3 linked regions of the Drosophila melanogaster genome follow. Changing the gene in region 3 together with the main gene of any one other region gives a genetic interaction. Each region holds a gene or a part of one and is shown on either strand. Other genes may lie near its edges.

What was found. A genetic interaction does not mean that the proteins touch.
Region 1: of aux (region 3) and Chc, changing one suppresses a phenotype caused by changing the other (phenotypic suppression), as found in Drosophila melanogaster (2 studies listed by BioGRID).
Region 2: of aux (region 3) and g, changing one enhances a phenotype caused by changing the other (phenotypic enhancement), as found in Drosophila melanogaster (one study listed by BioGRID).

Annotation. Positions count from the first base shown.
Region 1 is NC_004354.4:15,832,175-15,837,134, reverse strand, and holds the start of Chc (clathrin heavy chain), read left to right. Parts: upstream 1-1,644; 5' UTR 1,645-1,848; exon of another isoform or gene 1,849-1,907; intron 1,908-2,222; exon of another isoform or gene 2,223-2,314; intron 2,315-2,380; exon of another isoform or gene 2,381-2,503; intron 2,504-2,763; 5' UTR 2,764-2,970; coding exon 2,971-3,012; intron 3,013-3,435; coding exon 3,436-3,643; intron 3,644-3,881; coding exon 3,882-4,960. UniProt on the Drosophila melanogaster protein: Clathrin is the major protein of the polyhedral coat of coated pits and vesicles.
Region 2 is NC_004354.4:13,732,963-13,738,309, reverse strand, and holds the start of g (garnet), read left to right. Parts: upstream 1-2,031; 5' UTR 2,032-2,269; coding exon 2,270-2,368; intron 2,369-2,620; exon of another isoform or gene 2,621-2,779; intron 2,780-3,571; coding exon 3,572-3,667; intron 3,668-4,474; coding exon 4,475-4,603; intron 4,604-4,673; coding exon 4,674-4,814; intron 4,815-4,868; coding exon 4,869-4,998; intron 4,999-5,085; coding exon 5,086-5,225; intron 5,226-5,347. Other genes in the region: CG11134 (uncharacterized protein), read right to left, coding at 1-61; Grip91 (Gamma-tubulin ring protein 91), read left to right, coding at 504-1,208. UniProt on the Drosophila melanogaster protein: Part of the AP-3 complex, an adapter-related complex which is not clathrin-associated. The complex is associated with the Golgi region as well as more peripheral structures.
Region 3 is NT_033777.3:4,209,922-4,215,176, reverse strand, and holds the start of aux (auxilin), read right to left. Parts: upstream 3,395-5,255; 5' UTR 3,365-3,394; intron 3,270-3,364; 5' UTR 3,262-3,269; intron 55-3,261; exon of another isoform or gene 1-54.

The DNA of each region.
Region 1 (4,960 bases), on a different chromosome or scaffold from region 3:
TCATACGGACAGACGGACATGACCAGATCGACTCGGCTATTTCTCCTGATCAAGAATATATATATATATATAGATTATATGGTCGGAAACGCTTCCTTCTGCCAGTTTCAACGAATCTTACCCTTACGAGTAACGGGTATAAAAAATTGGAACTTGCATTATTATTGGCTCCCACAGAGAAGGGTATATTATTTGAATGACAACAACGTTTCAATGTAAATATATATTAAAATAATCTAGGTAAACATGAAAACGAAGAAAAATAAAAACAGAATTTAGTGGTATCTTTATGTTATCAAAATGAATATGATTGACAAAGCTCAGAGTCCGCAGCATTCTGCCATTTATCCTGGGCTTCCTAGATCCCAAAACCGAGTCGTAAGAACGTCTGTATATACTGTAGAAGAAACTTATATTAATAAAAGAATTTCCCTGGGAAACGAGGAGTTTATCAGTTTACCTTATTCTGTTAGCGACGGATCCTCTCCCAATGGCCCTGGGTTGAGGAATCCTGGGCGGGTGGGACGCCTAGCAGGAATGCGGCAGACTGCGAACGGCCAAAGCATCGAGCACTGGTCAAATTCGGACAATCCAGCTGGGTTTTTTACCACTGCAATAATGAAAAACTTTCAGAAGTCCTCAAGGGATTGCTCATGGTAGAGAGTGACATCGCTTTTGCTTTTAATAAAAGAATTTCCAAATTTTTGTGCCTGCAGGACAAAAATGATTATGTGTACCTTTTCGACAACTTGCTGAGGTGCTGGACCCTTCGCCCGTTCGAAGACTACCGCAAATCTGCGAGCGGGACGCCCGCAATATTCGTCTAGCTCCTTGCCCCATCCTTTGTCATGCCCTTGATCAGTCAAGTCAAGACGGTATAGATTCTATCGCCAAAAGGTGCTTCAAAATCGGATACTGCTGCTTACCTCATAGATTAAGATTTTATTGTTGGGACTCGGTTTTCCAAATGATAAAAACAATAAAAAAAATGTTTGGAGCAAATCCTAAAGTTGTTGTTTCTGTAGCACATTGAGTGTAAATGTCAAAAATAGTATTGAAAAAGAACAAAGTTAAAATCATCGCCTACTTAAAAATAGTATTGCATAGGAACAATGTTAAAATTATCGCCTACTTATTATCCAGCACTTAAGCAAGATAATTAATGTATATATATTTTTAAAAATTAACGAAAGAGAATGCTTTAGTCCCGTTCTCCGACTATCAGATACCCGTTACGCAGATAGTGTGAGTGCAAACGTGAAATTTAATAATTTTTTCTGGGGTGTGTTCTGTTACTCTACGAGTAACGGGTATAATAACTTCACATTCCAAATTAAATTGCTATAAAAAATAGATTTCCAATTAGAGAATATATCCAATTGGATCACTCGATAACACCTGTTAACCTTACGTATGTATTATGATCTAAAAACTTGTTATCGGCAAAATATAAATGAAGCTGATAAAATAAAATAAATTTGTTGTTCCTTACAAAGTTATACTACATTTACCTAAATAATAATTACATTCGAATATTATGAATAAATACGTGTAACAGTAGGATCGTGCGATACAAATATCGATTCGAATGTTGAATGTGGTATCGATGTTTTTTCACTCCACGCAATTGCATATTTGCCGTATATATCGGCATTAATTGTATAACTTTCACACCTCTACCTTGTCTTGCAGTCAGTATTTAGTCAAACAAAAGAAAAATAAACTACATTTGTTAGAGCTTGATAAGAGCTCAGTTTGTCTTCAGTGTGTGTGCCCGTCATCTAGCAACAAACCGACGTGATTATTTCGAGTATGATAGTACTTAGCGTACATTTTTGTTAAATTGCAGTAAGCATACGGGCTCCAAATATCTTTCGATTCATTGGGAAAAAATGTAAAGTGCTAAAGTGCGTGTGTGTGTTCGCTTGCAAATGCAATATATACATACAAATTTTGTTTATTTGATGTAAAAGCATCCGATTAATTTACCGTTTATCTAATTATGTTCTTGTTTATGTGGCATATTGCGGCACTGCAAGTGTGCGCGCTCATCTGTGAGTGTGTGTGCGCGAGTGCTGCTGTGTGCGTGTGAATTGGGAATTACCGCTACTCAATTTGATGTATATACACCGAATTTCGTCAATTTCATGGCATTGTCCCATTGTTATCAGGCGCAAAACAGTGATATTTAAATGCGATTTTCGATTTTCATGCACACACAGGGGGAGGGAAAACAAGAGCAAAATTGCTGTACATGTATTAGTCAGTGACTAATTGTTCAAAGCGCAACTCAACATGGCTGACTTTTTCTGTGGTGAGCAGCGATTTTTGATGATAATGCTGCCTCTTTTCTTTTCAAATTCTCTCTCTTGATTCGCTCTCACTCTCTCTCTCTCTCCCTCGCTCACCTCAAATAAAATAAAGTGCTGGTAATTTTCCCGTCGTAACGGCAAGTGCAAAAACGCAAGAAAACGAATAAAAATACCGATACAAAGGATTAATCGTAGGAAATAATTTCGTCTATATATTTTCTTGCACAAAAGCGATTGGGGATACAATAAGAGACTCGGTGTTTTATTTTAAGGGCGTTTACATCCATATGTACATACATATAGGCCTTTATCTTTCATTTTTTCATCCGGTGACGCTGTCACTTTCTATCAACAATAAAATAACGCCCACAATTTGATTTTTCCTCATTCTTGCCGCATCAGTGCTGTCCATAACTACATGTTTTTCCAAAATCTTTTGTCTTTCGTGCAGCTAAACGTTCCAATGGAAACCGAATCTTAAACCAGAAACCGACTAAACTCGAACGCAATTAAACAACAATAAATCCTCGAAACAAATCAAATACAAACTGTTACCAAGTGTGCAATTCAAGAAAACATCGTATTGGCATTGTTTTCGCAAAGATACATTTACGTTGTAAAGGTCTGTCAATAACTAGACCTCACTGTAGTAGTAAAGATGACGCAACCACTGCCCATCCGCTTTCAGGAGCATTTACAGGTGAGTAATATTAAATATTTTGGATCTACCATCATTACATATCCACATACGTACAACCCACCAATATGCCACGATTACCTACGATTATATCCGATTCATAAGCTCCCCACTTTTCTTATGAAAATTTCACGGTTTCCAGCTCTAATTCAACGTGTAAACAGAAAATATGGGGGCTTAGGTCGAGTTTCTACTTTGCTATACCTTCTATTCAAGTCTGTATACAGTGTATTTTCTATAGAACTAGTTATAATACAAATTTACATCTAAACTTAAGCAAAGTATTGCGAATATTTAATAGTAAATGTGGGTCAATCCAGGCCAGTTCAATAATTAATAATGAATGATTATATTGTGTAATGAGTGCGTATGCTATGATTTTCGATTTATCAATTAACACACATTTTCAATCTCCACTACGGACAGCTCACAAATGTCGGGATCAACGCCAATTCATTTTCATTCAGCACGCTCACGATGGAATCGGATAAGTTTATTTGCGTGCGGGAGAAGGTGAATGATACCGCCCAAGTGGTCATCATTGACATGAACGATGCCACCAATCCCACGCGGCGTCCCATCTCAGCGGATTCGGCTATCATGAATCCAGCTAGCAAGGTCATTGCGCTCAAAGGTAACTGAAACCGATGGTCCAGTCGATCAGAATGTCCGAAGAGGATCAGATTTTAGCTTAAAGTAACGTAGGCTTAGTAAACAGGTCCGCTTGTTATTACAACGTGTCTAGAAAACTTAAAACCTCACTTAAACTTTAACTTGAATATCAAATAGTAAGGAAAGAGATCAAAGTTTTTTTCCGGTCGACTGGGATAATGCATTTTTGAACATGTATAACTTTAGAATATTTCTTTTAGCGCAAAAGACGTTGCAGATCTTCAACATTGAGATGAAGTCGAAGATGAAGGCGCATACCATGAACGAGGATGTGGTGTTCTGGAAGTGGATCTCCCTCAATACGCTAGCTCTGGTCACAGAAACGAGTGTGTTCCATTGGTCCATGGAGGGCGATTCGATGCCGCAAAAGATGTTTGACCGGCATTCATCGCTGAACGGTTGTCAAATCATCAACTACCGCTGCAATGCCTCCCAGCAGTGGCTACTCTTGGTCGGCATTTCGGCACTGCCAAGTCGCGTTGCCGGTGCCATGCAGTTGTATTCGGTGGAGCGTAAGGTGTCCCAGGCGATCGAGGGGCATGCGGCCAGTTTTGCCACGTTTAAAATCGATGCCAACAAGGAGCCGACCACGCTGTTCTGCTTTGCAGTTCGTACGGCCACTGGGGGCAAGCTTCATATTATCGAAGTTGGTGCTCCGCCGAACGGCAATCAGCCGTTTGCCAAGAAGGCTGTCGATGTCTTCTTTCCGCCGGAAGCACAAAATGATTTCCCTGTGGCTATGCAAGTCTCTGCCAAGTACGACACCATCTACTTGATAACCAAGTATGGATACATACATCTGTATGACATGGAGACGGCCACGTGCATATACATGAATCGTATATCGGCCGATACGATCTTTGTTACCGCACCGCATGAGGCAAGTGGTGGCATCATTGGCGTCAATCGCAAGGGACAGGTCCTCTCCGTGACCGTCGACGAGGAGCAGATCATTCCCTACATCAACACCGTTCTGCAGAATCCCGATTTGGCCCTTCGCATGGCCGTGCGCAACAATTTGGCTGGTGCCGAAGATCTCTTTGTGCGAAAGTTCAACAAGCTCTTTACAGCCGGCCAGTATGCTGAAGCGGCTAAAGTTGCTGCCCTGGCACCCAAGGCCATTCTGCGTACGCCACAGACGATCCAGCGTTTCCAACAGGTGCAGACACCAGCTGGCTCCACGACTCCGCCGCTGCTGCAATACTTTGGCATTCTCCTCGACCAGGGCAAGCTGAACAAGTTCGAGTCTCTCGAGCTGTGCCGTCCCGTCTTGCTGCAG
Region 2 (5,347 bases), on a different chromosome or scaffold from region 3:
GCGAGGGAATCAAGTGGCGAGGATGCTCCGCCGGCAAGTCTTTGAAGATCGAGAGGGCCATCTCGCTGACAATGTGACTTTCGTGGGACGTAATCTTCGTCGCCGTGCGACACTGATAACGGGAGATAAAGGGATTCTGAAAGCGACAAATCACGAATGTAAACAATGCTGCCGTCGATAGACGATTGCAATCGGTGTATCGCTGTTAACACACAGCGTTGCCGTTACGATAAACATTGTCCAATTAGAAATGGTTTTTTGAAAATTGAATAATGTGCAATAGTTCATTAAGAGAACAAGATATTATTATCACCGTATTACCTCAAAAATGTTTCATAGCGCTGTTGAAAACGTTTTTTACAAGTATAAATATAATAAGCTTGCTACATTTGAACTTTTTTCAATTTTCTTGAGTAGTCCTATTCTGTAAGTCTTATTATAAACTTTTTTGTTTTTATGTGGCTCACCTTTGGAATTATATTGTTTATTAAACATCTTTTCAGGCCCTTCGTACAATGAAGTCCGAAATCGGCAAGGCGTCACACCGCCTCAACCTTTTCACTTCCGAGATCATGCACTTTATCCACCAAATGCAGTACTATGTGCTATTTGAGGTCATCGAGTGCAACTGGGTGGAGCTACAGAAGAAGATGCAGAAGGCTACTACGTTGGACGAAATCCTGGAAGCTCACGAGAAGTTTCTGCAAACGATTTTGGTGGGCTGTTTTGTCAGCAACAAAGCGAGTGTGGAGCATTCGCTGGAGGTGGTGTACGAGAACATTATCGAATTGGAGAAGTGGCAGTCGAGCTTTTACAAGGACTGCTTTAAGGAGCTAAATGCCCGCAAGGAACTGTCCAAAATTGTGGAGAAATCGGAAAAGAAGGGTGTCTACGGACTGACCAACAAGATGATCCTGCAGCGCGACCAGGAGGCGAAGATATTTGCCGAAAAGATGGACATCGCCTGCCGCGGCTTAGAAGTCATAGCAACCGATTACGAAAAGGCTGTCAGCACTTTCCTAATGTCTCTCAACTCTAGCGACGATCCGAATTTGCAGCTCTTTGGCACTCGGCTGGACTTCAACGAGTACTACAAGAAGAGGGACACCAATTTGAGCAAACCCCTGACCTTCGAGCACATGCGCATGAGCAATGTGTTCGCCGTGAACAGTCGCTTCGTGATATGTACGCCGTCCACTCAGGAATAGCGACCAATGTCCATGCAATCGGTTTATCCCAGTGTCCATACATCATACCAAATCCCAAATCCCATACAGCATCAGCACTCCATTCAGTTCAATTGCTGCTAAATATTTGAGATATCTCGATATCATTGGAGCCAATCCAACCAAACAAACTAATCCAATTATTAACTAAGCCTTCGAATCGAAAACAACCTCTATACATATATATCTCAAGCTTTGCCGTCAATCGCCTGGCTGCAAGCCATCAACTTAAGATATCTCCAATACAAAATTATTGAGTAGTTGTAACGAAAGTATTAAGCGACAATTTGTTTGTCGAAAAACGCAACGTTCTATTTTGTTTGCGAATCCCATAATTTTTTTTACATCGAAGCTTAGTTGAAATAGATTTTCGTAAGTGCATTTGCCAATTGCCATGTTGTAATTAAAGAGAATAAGAGAATGTTACGTACTTTAAAAGAATGTTTTAAAAAAGTTAATGTTTTGAACAGTTTTAAACCGTAATGCGAGCTCGAAATAAACGCAACTTGCATTGAAAGTTTCCGTCTCTATTTAATTATTATAAATTACAAAAATTTGGGTTATAAGAGTGTAATAGTTATTTATTCAATTATTGTAAATGCGTATAAAAAGAAAGCCGAAATATTCAGTTATTTATATTATTTCCTTCTCACTCTCACTCAAACTTTCTGATCTCAAAACGGTTTTGTAATCGAATGCGCAGCGAGTTATCGACAGTCCACGAAGCGGTTAACATTTCACCGCTAGCGAGTGCAGCCACCTACTATTCAGCGTAGCCAACCACCAACGTGCAGCAAACATCGATAGTATCGATTAAACACAAATTTGCGTACCACCTCTAGTTTGCGAGCGTATTAAAGTTAAAAAAAAAACGAAAACAAATCGGAAAAAGACGGAAGTGAGTGCTTTGTGCTGCCGCCGGTGATGTGCTGAAATCGCTTCGCCAAAATAGCCCAATTTCCCAATCGAGACACCGATTGCAAATCAAAGTAACGCCACGGAGTGCAGCAAAAAGAAAAACAAAAACAACAGCAACTGCAAACATGGCACTGAAAAAAGTGAAGGGTAACTTTTTCGAGCGTATGTTTGATAAAAACCTCACCGATTTGGTGCGCGGCATTAGGAACAACAAGGATAATGAGGTAAGCGTGCAGCCCCGCCTCCACCGCCCACCAAAACAGCTGTCCTCCAACTGCCACGCCCCCCCCAAGCGGCCCAGCTGTGCGTCCAATTAGAACTCGCTAATTGGCTGACAAATTTCGTTTGCATTAAGGGAATCTTATTAGAGTTTGGTGTGCTTGCATGTGTGCGTGTGTGTGTGTGTGGGTGAAAGTGGCTGTGTGTTTGTGTGTGTGAATGTTTTGGCATCTGCCAACAGTGCAAAAGGAAAAGCAGGAAAAGCTTGAAAAGAACCACAAAACCGAACGCAGAAACTCCCAACGCACCAAATTAATTAGCAAGTGGCTTTTATCAAATATTTACCCACGTTAATTCCCCCGCCGTTGGTCTTTTTATTCGGTCCTTATCAGAATGCTTGGCAGGATCGGCTAACGGTACTTGAGTTTTCACACGGAGAGAAAATTGCGTGTGATTTGCAAAAATAAAATTGTAGCTTCATTTGCTTCGATTGTTAGTAATTGCAAATATTAATGCAATAAAAATAATAATAAATAAATTGCCAAAAAATCAGTTTCCATCCAGTTATGGTTTGCATATCGTGCAACAAGAACAATTGAGAAATAAGAATATATGCAAGAATAACTAAGTTTGTCTACGTAAACAAAAAAATAAGTGGCTCTTGATTGAATTCGATTTCTATATCTTCCACTGCGCATTTCGATTGTTATTTTTGCTCTTGTGTGGTCCACTGTAAGCGCTGATTTACAAATGTGCTTAAAATTATAGCATTCATTCGTTTCAGTAAGATAAAAAAATAAATATTAATTGAAAATTGTGCATTTTTAATCTCAACTAAATGTTACTCATCAGCTAGCGCAGTTTCCATATAACTTTTCATGTAAACAACTTAAGGCGGCCATTATATTTCCATTTTGTACAGCACAAATGAAGAGTAAACAATCAAACTTTGTATATTTACATTCGATTTTATTAACAACTGCATCGGAATTAATGCAACAACACTATTATTCTACCCGCCACTGTATGATTTGGAATTTGTGTTTTTCTTTATTTTTGTTCTATTGCTGTGGGCATAAAACTGATAGCCCCACGACGATTCTCAGATATGTTTGTTGTTTTACTCTGCGCTGCCATTGCACATTTCGCATTTTCACATACTATATTTCGAATATAAACATATTGATTGACAATAACTTTCTCCGCAGGCCAAATACATATCGACGTGCATTGAGGAGATCAAACAGGAGCTGCGACAGGACAATATAAGTGTCAAGTGTAATGCAGTGGCCAAGTTGACCTACGTAAGTTGAATCTTGGAATCCTTAAACCAAAGACGCACCACAGATGATTAACTCACTATTTGCGAACAATGATGAGGGACTTTTAAAATTTATAGGGGTGTTTTAAAATGGTTAATTAGACAATCGCAAATGTGCTGTTCAAAAATAAGCTGATTATACGCACCGACAGCCCAAAGAGGATTCAGGATTCCCCTTCATTAGAATCATCAGTGCAGATGATTGCGTGTGCATGGATGTGCACCGGATTCTGGTGGCAGCCATTCAAAGTCGACCAAGTGCATGGCTGCACTTGATGCAAATTGCCTGGCGGCCGGTCGGTATATATGGGGGGTCCTTGTAGGCAAGTGCGACAATAAGGACTAAAACAGCAACAGCCGTTAAGCTAACAACTGAATCGGCGGAAACAAGGCGAACGAAGGAGCAACCTTTGTTCCACGCCCACACCGCTGGGTGTGGTGGTGGTGGTGGTGGTGGTGGTGTGCCCACCACTAACAAGCGATCCAAAAGATGCCATCAAAAGTTGGCACAGTTGTGTTGGCCAAAATAGCACTGCTATCCTGCAAAACCTAAAACCAGTTGGCTGAAACTGAAATCTAGTGCATAAGCTAAATGGTTTTTATCATTTATAGTTCGATTGCCAAGTCTAGGTAACTAGTGACTTACCCTCGAGTGTTAGGTGCAACTAAGGCGATTTTAATGCTAACGAGAGTCCTTGGGCCTATCCTCTGCACATATTTCACAGGCATACATTTGCACAAAATCAGCAGAAAATGTTAATATTTATTGATTCGATTTCGCTTGCGACAGATACAAATGCTGGGCTACGACATCTCCTGGGCGGGCTTCAATATCATCGAGGTGATGAGCTCATCCAGATTTACCTGCAAGCGAATTGGCTATCTGGCGGCTAGCCAATGTTTCCATCCGGACAGCGAGGTAATATTCACATTACTTACTGCATTAAAGAAAGCATTTAATTTCGATTTCTATTTTCCGCACATTGCAGCTGCTCATGCTGACCACGAATATGATACGCAAGGATCTCAACTCACAGAATCAATACGATGCGGGTGTGGCGCTCAGTGGACTGAGCTGCTTTATATCGCCCGATCTGTCCCGCGACTTGGCCAATGATATTATGACACTGGTATGGATATTATGACACTTTGATTGATTTGTACCTATCGCAACTAATCTGCAGATGAGTTCAACAAAACCGTATCTGCGCATGAAAGCCGTCCTTATGATGTATAAAGTATTTCTACGCTATCCCGAGGCATTGAGACCGGCATTTCCCAAACTCAAAGAGAAACTTGAGGATCCTGATCCAGGTTTAAACAACATACATATATATATCATCCTGCTGATATTTCCATGCAATTCATATATCTAATGCACTACTATTTTGGGTTTTACAGGTGTTCAATCAGCTGCCGTGAATGTGATTTGTGAACTAGCACGTAAGAATCCAAAAAACTACCTGCCCTTGGCGCCGATCTTCTTCAAGCTAATGACCACATCGACCAACAATTGGATGCTGATCAAGATCATCAAGCTGGTGAGTGCGGATCCACTGATCACTGGCCACCATATAGATTCACAATGATTACTTTATTTTGACTTTTAAGTTTTGTTTTAAGTACGTATCTGTTTATCTTTTGATTTTCGTTTGTTCGTTTG
Region 3 (5,255 bases):
AAAGTCCTATCGAGCTTCTGGTTAAAGAAATGTGAGTGTCTCTGGCGTAACACGGTGCGTATGCGCACTATCTGCCATTTGATGTTCATCAATCAAGCTGGTACAATAACAGTACCTGGCCACCGCAACTTTGAGCTTTTGATACGACTCTTAAGTAATTCCCGGGTAACCATTGCCGAGCCGGCTGGTTTGAGGGTCTTCAGTGTCAGACTTTTAGTACGACCTACCGCAACGAAACCTGTTCAGTCTGGAAGCCCTAGAAGATCCGCTCTCGGGACAGCGCACTCCAGACGATGACACATTTCACATTTCACACTTCAGCTCGTGCGTTGGCCCCCAAAGAGACCAGATCGGCCCACCAACCTGTGACTCCACTGGCAGTCGAAAGGAAACAGAGTTTCACTTTCAATTGCGACACCCAGGGCCAAGTAGGTAGGTGGGAGCGGTGCCAGAAGGGAGGCGAGTGGGAGGGGGTTGGTGGGCGCAGGGAAGCGACTAACACGAGTAATGTTAATTAAAAGACAAAAACATAATTTAACGCTGGGCATCGCGGCGGCGAGCTATCTTGGAAGTTACGATCTCGGCATTTCTCATCTCATTGCGCATCGTCCGCCACGAAAATACGAATGTGTGGATAAGTAAAGAGCTCGTTTTGGGCCCTCCACCTTGGGTGGGAAATGTTAATCATAAAAAGTAAAAGTAAAATATTACGGGTCGAGTCAGCACTAGCTTCGTTAGCCGCCCCTCGCATTTGCATTTCGCACATGGCAGTGGCGACAGCCACTGCACCAGCTGGCAGGCACAGAAAACGTCGTCGTCGTCGATTACAATCGATTGCCTACGCGGGCTACACGGGAAAAAATCTGAGTTAGGGGGAGCACCAAGTAGCTGTGCTGATGTGTAATATCTGTACCGGTCGAGCCCTGGCCACGTCCAAATCCCTCTGGGACGTGTAAATTGAAGTATGAGCTGAGCCCCGAAAGAATCATATTCATTCTCGCAGTGTACTTGTGCCACCGACCCCTTTGATTTGGGTTCAACCTCTCCAGCTGGAGGCGTGAGCGATTGCAGGCGTGGCCGCCATTTAAATTCAGTCTTTGTTGTATGCCCGCCTCACAATATCCGACGCGTTGCAGAGCAAACTCGACTTGATTGACACCTGACAGGGGCCCCAAGAAGTTAATGGAAGCCCAATTGAGCCTCCCCCTCTTTAGGTCACAGAGAGAGCTGGTTTCGCCGGGGCAGCTATTCTAAGCAACGTGGCTGTAAGCCCGTGATTAAGTGGATTCCGAATGCAAAAGACATCGCTCTCTGCATGACTCGAATCGAATCAAGGGAAACTATAAGTGCAGACTGCATTTCAAATTTCATCACTCGTCCCCAAGCCGCTGTTATGCGACGCTTATGACCGCAACAGTGGGCTACGCTCGAGATGAATGTCTTGGCTTCCGCCTCTTACTCATCGCTACAATCTTCAGATGGCGTTAGTGACGTAATTCTTAGCGGTAAGCAGTGACCCAAAAGACGGACCGCTGTCCAAATTTAACTGCAGTGTCAACTCTGTCAAAGTCTCCCGACCGGAGAGGACGGAACGGCTGAAAAGAGTCCTGAAAGTCCGTACAGTTCAAGTTCGGAACTAGTTTTAACGCTCTTAGGGTAACTTTGTCGAATCGGTATGCGATCGAGATTGTCAATGAGCATGGTCTATTAGGTGGTATAATTATCTTGTTTGCCTAGTGTGTTCTCAGAATTATTTAAAATGGTTCTCCGAAAAACTATTGAAATACTAATGAAAGTAAAGCTTGCCTACCTATTGTAAAAGTAAGCTCTTCGAAACAAATTCTGTTTTGTCCAAATGGGAGTACATTTTATTCGATTTCTTTAAAAATTATAAACCTCCGAATGAATGTTTCATTTTCATTTGAAGTGTCAGCTATTAGCACAATTAGTAATTATTTCTATGTGCATGACAAATTTGAACAAAGGGCGATAATAACGTTTAGTCTTGCGAAGTTAATTTTCAATTTAAGGAAGTACCTTGGCCAGCATGACATCTCGTCTCGGGAACAATTAACACAATTGTCTTGCCAGATTCTGTCGATATTCCGAAATATTTTAAGACTACCTATTGCATTTAGTAGCACAGTTTTGCAATCATTAAATAAAAATAAATCGGTTAATACTAATCAATTTTATCATGGAAAAATTGGCAACTATGTTTTGGAAACAAAGAAAAACACTAAAGAATTTACAGGTATTTGCTGTGCCCTTGTCCCGATTTCTAGCAATAAATCGATTTGCTGACCGCGTAATCTTTAGGAATAGGGTTCATGGCCACCTGCAAGCAAGCCAAGTCATAGGAAGAAGCGATAGCGTGGATTTAGGCAGGAGTATTGGAGAAGAGGCGCAAAGCGATGTAGTTGGCCGAGTCGAGTTGAAAGTGAAAGTTTTGCCGAGCAGAGCGCAGCGATTTGCGTCGACGAGCAATGCTCGGTTAGCCACCCAGAGCTCCATTGTCAGCGGCAATAGTAGCGGCGGACGTGAACTTTAGCGGCCGCGTTTGAGTTGAAAACGCAATTTACAATTTTCCTAATTGTTTCTTTCAGCTTTTTGTCGGCCAATTTTCCTTTATTAGTTACTTATTGGATTGTCGTTAGCGTGACCGAGGCGTATGCGTAATATCTTTGCCAACGCCCGATGAGAAAATCGAATTGCCGGTAATCGTCGCATTGACCGCTCACAGAAAGCGTTACCCAGCAGAATAGAAAGACAGAAAGATCTCTAGACGAATCTTTATCATCTTATTTTTCATCTCTCATTTGTGGTTCATTTAATGCAAATTATGGTATCGATTACTTCTGTTTTGAATGTTGAACTTTCCAGTTTCATTCGACCAGAAGATGAATGATCTTAGGTAGAGCACGTTGTTACTCAGGAAATGCGGCTTTCGACGTTTCAGCATCGTTTCCGTCAAAGTAAAAACTGTAGCGTGCAAACGAAAGTTTCAATTTATTTGGTGTTTCGCTTTCTGAGCCCAACGCACCCAGCACATCACGCAAAAGCAGCCAAACTGCAGAGGAGCAGCCATACCTGGCCTGTAAATAATTTATTTGAGAACACGCGGGAAATCTGTTAAGCCAGCATTCCTTATTTATTGGATATTGATTGCAATAGCACTGAAGCGGGTAATCGTCATTATTTTAACAGCTATTCTTAACTTTTGTTTTCCACTTTTGTTGATTATCGCCTAATTTCTAATACCAAGTCAGCTAAGTTGCGGAAGAAACCAGTTTAATTAATTTTTAATAAATTTATTAAAACCATTATTATTATATTATTATTATTATCGTCAGAAATTTGATACCAGAAATTTATAAATACTGGAAGCTTGCGGCACAAACAAAAAGCAATGGATGGCAGAGACTGGTTATATCGAAAAAAACACATCGAAAGGGATGGTAAAATCTTTTTTTAGTACCTTATGAACGGGCTGTTGAAATTATTTTGAAGTGTGTTATAAGAAAAAATACAATTTTAGCCGCCGTTTACAGAAGTTAATATTCTAATACAATTTCACGTGTCTCTTTTATTTTGATCTGTCCTTTAGCTTGGTTCAACAGCGACTGACTGCCGCGCTCTCTGCAGAGTGGCGAGTCGATTAGTCGATAAGTTTCTCGATAATATTTGTATGTTAAGGATGGGTGTATGAGTGTATAAGCTTATGACTAGATTGGCTATGTATAATTAGGTATGTATGACTAAGAGTAAAGGAAGAGGGTAGAAGGAGCAGCCTACTACAACTCGGCCGTCCTGACAACTAGATCTCCCGATCGTAGGATTTTATAACAATTAACGTTTCTTAAAGCTAAGGGTCCTGTTTCTTATTTTATTCTTCTTAGTGGAGATACTTTTGAACGGTCTTAAACATTTTTTTGGTTTTCTTTTCTTCTTGTTTGTTTTCTTTGTTTTACAATTGCTTCTTAAATTATACTTTCTATTTCGTACAGAGTTTCTTAAATTATACTTTCTATTTTGTACAGAGTTTCTCAAATTATACTTTCTATTTTGTACAGAGTTTCTCAAATTATACTTTCTATTTTGTAGACTCTTAATTTTTCTTTGCCAGTGTTTTATATTCTGTATGCTCCATACACCCCGGTAAGGATTGCGAGAAATTTGAAATCCATCAACATCTTCCAGAAGGAAGCGATCATTTTTGAGAACTTTGCTTATGACATAGGGTCCTTTATGCTTTGGAATTAACTTCTTAGCTATGCCTGTTGTTGAGTCAAAATTTTTAACCATGACGTAGTCGCCTTTTGTGAACACTCCTGATCGTTTTCGTTTTTTGTCAACATATTCTTTATTGTATGCTTGTGCTATTTTCTGACTTGCCTCGCCTTTATTTCTAATACTTTCTAAATCTCTTTCTTCAATCGTTTCTCCAATTTCCTCAATTTTTTCTTTTAACTCATCCATAATTTGTCCTTTTTGTTGTAACCCAAATAACATTATGCTAGGATACTGTTTAATGCTGCGGTGTAGTGTATTGTTCAGGGTATATTCGACCTTTTCTAAGACTAAGTCCCAGTGTAGACCTTGATCAGGTTCAATTAACTTGCTAATCATTGGACCAAGACTTCGGTTTATACGTTCAACTTGACCGTTGGCTTGTGGCGATCCTGTTGCAATTTTTATGTGTTTAACATTGCATTCTTTCAAAAATGAGTCAAAATCGCCAGACGTGAAACATGCTCCTCTATCTGATATGATACACTTAGGCCTACTGTATGCTCTGAAGTAGTCATTTAACGATTGTATGACTTCTTTTGTGTTCGTAGTTTTTGTTGCGTATAGTCTGACAAACTTTGTGAATGCATCTACTATCACTAGAATATGTTTCTTCGGTCTAGCCAAGTCTACTGGACCATAATGGTCAATATGGATTATTTCAAAAGGTTTGTTTCCCTTAGGTATGTTGTGTAGAAATCCTTCTGTTTTTCCTGTTTTGGGACTGAATGAAATACATTTTAAACAGTTGCTGATATGTGTGCTACACTTCTGTTTTAAATTTGGAAACCAATAGTTTTTCATTATAGCTTCTATCATTTTGTCTCTTCCTACGTGTCCAAGTTCGTTGTGATATTTGTATAACACTTGTTCTTCCATTTCTATCGGAACGTAGAACAGCAATCTATTTTCATTTGTCTTTTTGTAAACTATACCATTTCTCATCTCATACAATTTATTTTCTG